Danio rerio: one gene and its partners. The protein of the gene in region 3 purifies or fractionates together with the protein of the main gene of each other region. This does not show direct contact. Links are inferred from orthologs where the notes say so. Each region holds a gene or a part of one and is shown on either strand. Other genes may lie near its edges.

Evidence for each region.
Region 1: the proteins of arpc1a (region 3) and arpc3 purify together in Homo sapiens (affinity purification with mass spectrometry; 8 studies listed by BioGRID and IntAct, counting the BioPlex papers as one, with this or other methods). This does not show direct contact. The link is inferred for Danio rerio from reciprocal best matches to the Homo sapiens genes ARPC1A and ARPC3.
Region 2: the proteins of arpc1a (region 3) and arpc2 purify together in Homo sapiens (affinity purification with mass spectrometry; 8 studies listed by BioGRID and IntAct, counting the BioPlex papers as one, with this or other methods). This does not show direct contact. The link is inferred for Danio rerio from reciprocal best matches to the Homo sapiens genes ARPC1A and ARPC2.

The regions. Positions count from the first base shown.
Region 1 is NC_133196.1:18,453,752-18,456,680, reverse strand, and holds the end of arpc3 (actin-related protein 2/3 complex subunit 3), read right to left. Parts: intron 2,761-2,929; coding exon 2,692-2,760; intron 2,618-2,691; coding exon 2,491-2,617; intron 2,411-2,490; coding exon 2,316-2,410; intron 792-2,315; coding exon 729-791; 3' UTR 530-728; downstream 1-529. UniProt on the Homo sapiens protein: Component of the Arp2/3 complex, a multiprotein complex that mediates actin polymerization upon stimulation by nucleation-promoting factor (NPF).
Region 2 is NC_133184.1:49,933,577-49,938,035, forward strand, and holds the start of arpc2 (actin-related protein 2/3 complex subunit 2), read right to left. Parts: upstream 2,882-4,459; 5' UTR 2,764-2,881; coding exon 2,690-2,763; intron 1-2,689. UniProt on the Homo sapiens protein: Actin-binding component of the Arp2/3 complex, a multiprotein complex that mediates actin polymerization upon stimulation by nucleation-promoting factor (NPF).
Region 3 is NC_133178.1:39,753,757-39,756,840, forward strand, and holds part of arpc1a (actin-related protein 2/3 complex subunit 1A), read left to right. Parts: intron 1-747; 5' UTR 748-773; coding exon 774-837; intron 838-919; coding exon 920-1,024; intron 1,025-1,621; coding exon 1,622-1,844; intron 1,845-1,926; coding exon 1,927-2,034; intron 2,035-2,117; coding exon 2,118-2,330; intron 2,331-2,447; coding exon 2,448-2,523; intron 2,524-3,084. UniProt on the Homo sapiens protein: Probably functions as a component of the Arp2/3 complex which is involved in regulation of actin polymerization and together with an activating nucleation-promoting factor (NPF) mediates the formation of branched actin networks.

The DNA of each region.
Region 1 (2,929 bases), on a different chromosome or scaffold from region 3:
CTCTAGGATAAAATAAACTAGAAATTCCAAGGGTTCAGTCAAAGCAGGGTGAATCTGCCTTCAGCTGCTGAAATCAGCTTCCAGAAATGATCAGATGTGCTCCAACATTAGGCACGTTCTACTCAAGACTCAAAACACATCCGTTTAGCTGTGCCTTTACTGAATGAGCCCTGTGCTTCGTTCAACAGATCACACTATTGTGTCTTTCTTTTCTTTTTCATTCGTTTGAGACTTTCAACACATTTTAATCTATTTTTATTCTTTGTTGTTTTTATTTTCTTATACCTGTTTCTTTTATTCCTGGTTATGTGAAGTACTTTGAATTACCATCGTGTATGAAATGTGCTACATAAATAAATTTGTCTTGTATATCAGATGAGAAAATGTTGTCTTGGAAACCAACTGAAATAGAAACTCATAAAAGCTTTTTACATCTTTGACCCACATACTGTATGGCTACAATACTGAAAATATAATATTAAAAGCTAATTCAGAAAACTGATGTGTCTTTAGACGCTAATAATAATACTGTTTCTCTTCAATAGACTTTTATTTGATCATCTGCTGTTTTACATGACAGACCAGAAATCAAATACACTTGATATAACCAGTACAAAATCTGAATAAGGGTAAACAGGTTTGCATAAACATTAAAGAAAACAGACAGACAAAAAAAATATCCATCCACATCCCGCACAGAGGTACCAACTGAGATCCTGAGTAGGTTCTTACTGGCCCGGTGCAGACAGACTTTTGTTCATGAACTGTTTCTTTACAAAACACACCCACCACTGTAGATAAAAAAAAAGGAGAAAGTGTTATTAAATAATCACTGTTTGTCAAAATGTTTTTGTGAATTTTGGTGTGAGTATTTCAGGGAACATATATTCTACAGTGTACAATGTAGTACAATTTAATAAAATGTTTCAATTTTATTTAAAATGTTTCCATATAATGCAAAACTTTCTTGAACAATTATACAGGTTGAACATTATAATAATGACTTTAGAAATGTGTTTGAGAAAATAATAGCTGAATACACAATTAATTGAAAAAAGATTGCGATCTCGATTCGACCCACTAGACGATCTTAATCCAGCATTTCTATGATTCTGCCAACTGCTGCTGTCATATTTTCAAGTTCAGAAAAGAAGCAAAAGCGGCTGCACGAGTCTTTTCATTGTTTCACATGGGTTGCTCAGCAACATGGACACCTCCAAATGATATTAAAAGAGTCACATACTGTATTTATAAGGTACAATTCACCTAAAAATGTCATTTTTGTCTTCATATAATACTGTATTTGCGGCCGGGAAATCACAAGTGACGTGAGCTGCTGACCGTGAGCTGTTACCTCATTGCTACTTAAATGATAGACGCGCGCACGTCTACTTTAGTGAACAGAACCTGCATAGGCTGTGAAAAACAGGTAATAAAGTTGTAAATAATATTCAGTTTGTGGCAGAGAGTTCGTTTGAGAGCCACACGCAGCTTTAGTCACAATACAAATATAAATGTTCAGAAGTTCTATTTTACAGTATAATCTGAAAAGAAAAATTGGTTTAATTGTCATTAAAAAAACACTTGTAGACAAATGTTTTAACTATCATGAAAAGGAATGTGACCTTAAAAAGTAAAAAAAATGTGCCTTAAGCAATCTTTCCTTGACTTTTTTCCCTCGGTTCTTCTTGTTTGCATTACAGTAACTACTTTGAAGCACATTTTTCCTTCACTGTCATTTAAAAAAACGTCCCAATGCAAGATAACAGCAAAAAATCCTTTAGTCTTGCCAGATAAATTGATGAATTAATATTTAATTCAGGGTTTCTGCAGGTTTCACTGAGTTAACTTTAAGACATTTTTAAGAACATTATGAGTAAAATGTTAGACTTATACAGAGCTAAATGCTAAAGACATTTCCCCCCGAATATCGCAGTTAGAAAAAACATTCACTTGCCTTAAAAAATTATTACAATTTAATACATTTAATATTAATAATAAAAATATAGGCCAGGTCAGTAACCTCAAAAGTAAATAAATGGAGAGCTTTTAAGCAAATATTACTGTAAGGAAAGTAATTAAATGCAATTTTTAAATAAAAGTGAAACATTTTATTGATATGGATTGTTGGTCATTCTATGGATGGTAATGGCCAGATTGGGTAACTATACATGACAAATTTTGTTAAAATTCAAAATATTTAAGACCTACAACACAACATTTCAGTAGATTTAAGACTTGTTAAGGCCTAAAATTTAGCTTTTGACATTTAAGACATTTTAAAAACCCACGGATACTCTGCCGATTAAATTCACCTTGCTTGGTTTGTCTGTCTGAGGGTCGAACACTCTGTCACACAGTCTCAGTCCGGTCTCCTGGCGGATTTGTTGCAGGTAAGCTCTCATGTTTTCTGTCAAGAGAAAAAAATACAGTATTAAATCAGTCCAGAAATATCCCTTTTGAATAAACCCATCATTTATTGCTCCATACCTTCCTCCTGCTTGCTGGAGGGTTTAGCATACATGGCGTTGAGAGGGAAACCAGGCTCTCCGGGAATGGGGAAGTTGGTAATGCCCAGCGTGTACATCTCCTTCTCTCCTTGGCCCCGTGAACTGCACTGTAAAGCATTCATATTATTGAAGGTTAGATATGTATGAAGCATTACCTATTAGAGTATGAATCTTTCATTACCTTTTGGAGTTTCTTGAGACATTCAGAGATGTAAAGAGTGATGTAGATCAAGGTTCGATCAGCCTCATTCTAAAGCAAGTTAAAAATAATATTTTAATACAAAATCTTTAACATTTAAAGGACAGTTCACACAAAATGTACATTTCCCAGTCATGATTATTCATTACAGTTTACTCCAAACCTGTTTGAATTTCTTCCTTTAGTAAAGCGAACGAGATTTTAATTGACCTCCGTTGTA
Region 2 (4,459 bases), on a different chromosome or scaffold from region 3:
GATAAGTCACCACAAGTCTTAAAAAGACCTTTTTAAATGTGATATTCATAAATACGCAAAAAAAAAAAAATAGGTGGATGGAAACTAGAGTTGCACAATATTGTAAAAATTACACATTGTGTTTTTTTTAATTCGGCTATATATATATATATATATATATATATATATATATATATATATATATATATATATATATATATATATATATATATATATATATATGCATATATATATATATATATATATATATATATATATATATATATATATATATATATATATATATATATATATATATATGCATGCATGCATGCATGCATGCATGCATGCATGCATGCATGCATACATACATACATACATACATACATACATACATACATACATACATACATACATACATACATACATGTATATATATATATATATATATATACTGCGATATGAATACAATTTCTCTAGATGAGTTTGACAAATGTTTGTAAAGAATCTATAATTTTAAATAGATTGAGAAGACTCTGTAGGGGAGTGCATAAAATATAATAAACAATCCACATGCATAGATAAATTCAATAAAGAAATATATGCTAATTAAATAAACAGAGTTTTAGTGTTTTCAGAGGAGTCAAAATGTATTCAGATATTCAGAAATTGCATAATCATGTGTACAATAAGACTGTATAGTCTTCGTTTTGTAAACAATTTCATAAAATTAATCACTATTCATTTTTCAAAGTTACAAACGGTACATTTTCAATTATAATCCAGACTCAACATAGTGACTATTGAGAATGATCACATTGCGATATCAATGCTGAATAGATATATTGTGCAGCCCTAATGGAAATGCAGCTAATGTCTTGTGGAATGACAGAGAAAGAGAGGGAGAGAGACAACAAAACAAAAACAAAAGCCACATTGCACAAAATAAATCAACAACGTAGTAATCAGATGTAATATATCAGATACTGAAGATGTGATTTTCCCAGAGATGGGTTGCAGCTGGAAGGGCATCCGCTGCGTAAAACATGTGCTGGATAAGTTGGCGGTTCATTCTGCTGTGGCAACCCCGGATTAATAAAGGGACTAAGTTGAAAAGAAAATGAATGAATGAAGATGTAATCATAAAAAATAAGTCCTGAGACATAACTCTATGCTTAAAATGAATATAGCTTAAACTTCTGGAAACAAAGTGCCCCTTCTGCTTTGTTTAAAGCAGTAGTGCCCAAGATTTTTGGTATAAAGGGCCAAAAACCAAATATCATTGAGAACCATGGGCTGAAGGTAAATGTACCAAACTATTTTATGTTAAAGTTGCCATTTATTGGTAAACATTACTTTATATCATATTAATGAATGTGTAAAAAATTTTAAATGAAAACTTACCGCAGTAAAAATCACATTATAACAGTGGAGTTCAATGCTGAAAACACTAGTCAAGCAGAATCTGCCTTTGCATTGATTTGTCCTTTATCCGTCCGGTGACGGTATGTACATTTAAACTAAATCTGATTAATTTACACCATTTAATTAAAACATTTTGTCTCAGTTAGCTTTTAACAATAAAACAAACAATAAGAATAGCAATAAATCAAACAAACAAACAAACAAACAAACAAACAAAAGTTTACATTAGATTTGAAATGACAATCTCTAAACCATCCCTATCATTCTTCCTCTTCTTAGATAGGATGTCAGCCCAAATCAAAAGTTAACATGGGCCAACTTTGGCCCACAGGCCCTAGTTTGGGCATCTCTAATTTAGAGCGACAGATCGCAGTGATTAACCAATCAGAATCAAGTATTCCAGTAATAATAATGTAAACAATGACAGAATAATAGAAGGTATTTGCACGAAACCCTCCTTTAAAAGCTATAACGAGCAATTTATTTATTTATTCATTAAAGCTAAATATCCACAAACTAAGCACACCGTAATGACTCAATAATGACTTCAAACCACACTGAACTGAGCTAAACTGAACTGAACTTAAACACTAAAAACTGAACTACCCTGATCCAGTTACTATGACCATTTATGTGAAGCTGCTTTGACACAATCTACATTGTAAAAGCGCTATACAAATAAAGCTGAAGTAAAAAAATTTAATTAAAAAATAAATCAGAATGTGTGTTTATTCACATGCGCGCGACCGTTCCAGCTCAAGCACGCGCAGAATCCCACATTGAAGGGAAAAATGAAGGGCTAGAGGAGTATTCACGAGCAAATCGTGCACAGACGGGTCTGAAAAGAAGTGCTAATATGCTTGTTCCTGCAGCGACATGCATTCGGCTGAAATACACGAACAGGAAGTGCCTGAAATCTGCATTACGACTAACGTTAAACATTTCCAGAAATCAGGTCGGCGGAGGCGAAGCGTGCAGTGGCCAAATTTACTCAACTGTTTAACGCAGTAACTTAACATGTCGATCTCGTTTCCACAAGTAAAGGTTTATATAAAGGTTGAAATAATCATTAAAGGTTTTCTATGTGACATATACTGCTGGACACACCCCATACAGGATGCTTCAATCCTCCAACGTGAAAAACAGCGAATTGCCATTCAGAACTGAATCAATAATGAGTGTGTTTTTGTGCTATTATATGGGTGTGAAATGAAATATGTCTCTTGTTAAAGTCTGCATGCATTATATGAGCGATGTGACTGAGACAGGAAGATCTTCCTCTTACCCGTTGCTCGCGCTGTCGAATTTGAGGCTGAGAGTCTCCTCTATGATCCGATTGTTGATTTCCAACAAAATCATGATGATTTATGTGAATGTTAAATGGCTATGTGCAATTAAAAATATAAGAGTTGATGTTGTTTTATTTCTACAACGCTGCTACAATCGTTTTGGTTTTCCTGCTCCTGGACTTCTGGCCGCTTCCGCATTGACTCGAAAGACCCGCGGGCTGCCCGCGTCACCGCCTGATCGTATGTGCTAATCATTTAAACAAAATGTTTTTGACCAAAATTAAGCGTTTTCAAGTAAAAAAAAATCTTCTAGGTTACATTCAGGATGTTTTTATTTACTTTGTTCATGAATCGTTTCCACACTTTATGACCAAATAAAATCCCATGACGTGTCAACTCCTCCTGTTATCGTGATTTGCTTACTAAATAAGGAGTTTTAAAATCACATTGCATTTGTATTATTTATTCCTTATTTCTTAAAGAAATTACCTAAAGAAACATAAAACAGCGTTTTTGTAAATTTCAATGCCTTTATTTGTCCTCTATAAAGCAAATATATTAGCCTTACAACATTAGGTAATAAATGATAGAGCATACTGTAGTATTAACTATCGTGAACTGATAAACTGCAATAAACCATGTAGTATATTTAGGTTTTTCGTTTCTACAGTAGACTATGTAGTTATAGTATTAGATCATTTGTTCATATTAGCTATTATAATTGTTGTATTCGCAAAGCTAGCTACCATAGAATCAAGCGATCAGTTGAAGTTAGTATGGTACAAAAACACCTACTAAGTTATTCAAGCCTGGTTATGGTCCAAAAGCACGTAGGCAAGTAGCCTACTCAAGCCTGGTTAATATAGTCCAAAAACACTTACTAAGTTATTCAAGCCTGGTTAATATGGTCCAAAAGCACTTAGGCTAGTAGCCTACTCAAGCCTGGTTAGTGTGGTCCAAAAATACTGACTAAGTTACTCAACCCTGCTGAAAAATCCAGCTTAAACCAGCCTAGGCTGCTTGGCTGGTTTTAGCTGGTCGACCAGCCTGGTTTTAGAGGGGTTTTGGCCACTTCCAGGCTGGTCCAGCCATTTCCAGCCTGGTCTTAGCTGGTCAGGCTGGGAGTTGACCAGCTAAAACCAGCTTGACCAGCCTAGCCAAGCTCGGAGTCCAGCCAAAACCAGCTATATCCAGCTTAAACCAGGCTGGTCAGCTGGTTTTAGTTGGATTTTTTCAGGTCATTTTCCAGCCTGTATAGCTAAGACCAGGCTGCAAATGGGTGGAAACCAGCCTGGAAATGGCCAAAATCCCTCTAAAACCAGCCTGGTCGACCAACTAAAACCAGCAAACCAGCCTAGGCTGGTTTAAGCTGGATTTTTCAGCAGGGAAGTCTGGTTAATATGGTCCAAAACATTTACTAAGTTACTCAAGCCTGGTTAATATAGTCCAAAAACACTAAGTTACTCAAGCCTGGTTAATATGGTTCAAAAAACACTTATTAAGTTATTCAAGCCTGGTTAATATAGTCCAAGACACTTGCTAAGTTACTCAAACCTGGTTAGTATGGTCCAAAAACACTTAGGCTAGTACTCAAGCCTGGTTAATATGGTCCAAAAACACTTATTAAGTTACTTAAGCCTGTTTAGTATGGTCCAAAAACACTTATTAAGTTACTCAACCATGGTTAATATGGTCCAAAACACTTACCAAGTTACTCAACCCTGGCTAATATGGTCCAAAACACTTACAAAGTTACTCAAGCCAGG
Region 3 (3,084 bases):
TCTTCCCCCATTTCTGGCGCCCCCCTGGATGTACAGCACCCTTACCATTTGCCTATACTGCCTATGCCACTGGCCGGCCCTGCATAAAGTACATATAAATAGAAAAGCTGTACATTAGAGGGTAAAAACAAAAGATTTGACAATATCAAAAGCTATAATCCAGGACTTTACAGTTTTTGACTGAGCTCCATGTATGCTTCCTGTTGAAAGTTCCATACAAATAATGTCCAGCAAAGATAGACCGTATTGATCTACTCATTATATGAGGGGGGATCCAGCGGCAGACCAACATTTTCTTAGCAGCTGTGAAGGAAGCTTAGAGTAAGTTATTTTGTTGCATTGAGAGTGATATGTTAGAAAAATCATTCAGGAATCATCTTTTCCTAACAAAAATGAACTATCATGTGCCAGCTGAGATGAAAAAGAATGAAGTGCAGGACATTTCCAATAATAATGAAAATAAGTGCCAACTGTCCTCTGTGAACCACAATTTCTATCTGGGTCAGGTGTTAAATTTGTTTTAAGGGGGGATAAATAGAGTCTATGCAATTGTTTCCAATGTATCATTTGACGATTTGTATTTTTTGAGGAGGATGGAATAGTGTCCCAAATTTGGTCAGAAAAGAAAGGTTGTATATATCCACTGATATCCTTAGACCAGACAGTAGTGATGGTGTTATGTAGAAAATATTACTATTATATTATTACTGGCATAGCAATCAAACATGAGTTTTGCGACTTTTTCAGGCAGAGGTGCAAATTCTTTGAAGATAATGTCACTTCACCAGTTTTTGTTGGAACCCATCACCTGCCACGCATGGAACCGGGACAGGACCCGTAAGATGCTTTTCATTCCTTTTATACTTTTATAATTTTTTTAAATTGATGTCTAAACCCATGTTGTGCTTTTTATTGACAGAAATTGCTATCAGCCCAAACAACCACGAAGTCCATATATACAAGAAAAGTGGAAATCAGTGGGTGAAAGTTCATGAATTAAAAGAACACAATGGGCACATCACAGGTACAGATCCCTGCAAATCTGACTGTAGAAGCATATCATGCTTGCTTTGTTAATATCAAATGTTTTGTTGAACTATACTGGAATTTGGTACCAATTGATACTGATATTTTAAAAACGTCCATTTCCCATTAACATTTAAGTGCTGTTGAGCACGTTCTTAAACGGCGCTGATTTGCCGTTGTGTTCACATGCTCAACAGAAATGACTGTAATTGGCCGTGAAGGTCATCAGTGCACTGAACTCCCTGCTGTTTACTGAGTATAAACACAGATACAAGGACATTCATCAGCAGATCACTTGTTTATCAGCTTATAGACAAACCAACTGATCGAGGTGACTTTGAAATGCTCCAGTGTCCCTGTGTCTGTGGTTACACTCAGTAAACAGCAGTGAGTTCGGTGAACCGATGACCTTCACAGCCAATTACAGTCATTTCTGTTGAGCATGTGAACACAACGGCAAATCAGTAGTGTTTAGGATTGTGCTTAACAGTGATTAAATGGGAAATTGACGTTTTTAAAATTTCAGTATCGATTAGTACTAAATTCCAGTATTGTGAAAACGCTACCAGCAAACAGTTTTTGTTTTTATTTCTAGGCATTGACTGGGCTCCTAAAAGTGATCGTATTGTGACCTGTGGAGCGGACCGAAATGCTTATGTATGGAGTCAAAAGGACGGCGTGTGGAAACCCACCCTTGTTATTCTCAGGATCAACCGTGCTGCCACGTTTGTGAAATGGTCTCCTCTGGAGAACAAATTTGCAGTGGGGAGTGGAGCTCGACTCATATCCGTTTGCTACTTTGAGTCTGAAAATGATTGGTTGGTCTCAGTTAAAATCTTGTGCCACTGCACTTTTAAAAAATGTAATTCTTCAGGTATTAATTATTATTTTTAATTTTAGGTGGGTTAGTAAACACATCAAAAAGCCCATCCGTTCAACTGTCCTCAGTTTAGACTGGCATCCAAATAATGTGCTTCTGGCAGCTGGGTCATGTGACTTCAAATGCAGGTGAGACTTTGTCTACATGCAATGTCTTTAAGTAATGAAATATTATTATTATTAGTGCTCATATGTGTTTGTTTGTTTCTTAGGGTGTTCTCTGCATACATCAAGGAGGTGGATGAGAAACCAGCTCCAACCCCGTGGGGTTCCAAAATGCCCTTTGGGCAGGTGATGACAGAGTTTGGTGGGGCGGGAAGTGGAGGTTGGGTTCACAGCGTCTGTTTCTCTGCCAGTGGAAACAGATTGGCTTGGGTCAGCCATGACAGTACTGTCACTGTAGTGGACCCCACAATAAGCTCAACGTGAGTATCCTAGATAGTCGGTGTGTTAAGTATGATTAAACCATTTTGTATTTGCTGGCAGACCTTTTGTAAAAGATCATGGTCAATCATGAATAACTGCACGCATCTCTTTTGCAGGCCGAGTCAGCTGAAAACCGAATTCCTTGCTCTTCTGAGTGTAACTTTTGTTTCTGAGAACAACATTGTGGCAGCGGTAAGAACCTTTACATTTCTTGCTCAGTTCGCTTCTCTTGGGGAGTTTGGTCTGGACTAAAAAGAAAATATATACACACATTTAGTCTAGGTCATTTCAGTCTAAACCTAAGTATACAAAGCAAATAAAGTGCTCATAGTATGTGGTTGCATATTATGTTGTTGTTTTAAGTATTGGAGAGTTCATAAAGAGCTTTGTAAAGTTGTAAAGAATGCAATATTTGATACATAAACAAAGATGCACTGCATAGAAAGAGATTTCTGGGGTGTATATTGAGAAAAAACTGACTGATCAGGCATGCTAGAGCATTTTGTTTTTGGGTTGCATCTTGGGACATCATGTCCTGTTTTTGGTTTGTGTAGATGTCTTTTGTTACTTCAGTCAAATCACTTGGAAGCGGACCAAAACCCACCATTCCAGCAGTTGTCATTTATTCATTCATTGGTTTGGTGCGGTGTTCACACTTATTTCACCTAACTGCGTAAACACAGCAATCCTGCTTTCTACAGCTGTTTACACTGCTGCATTTCCACTGAAAATGCCATTTTAGTATAAAAGTAC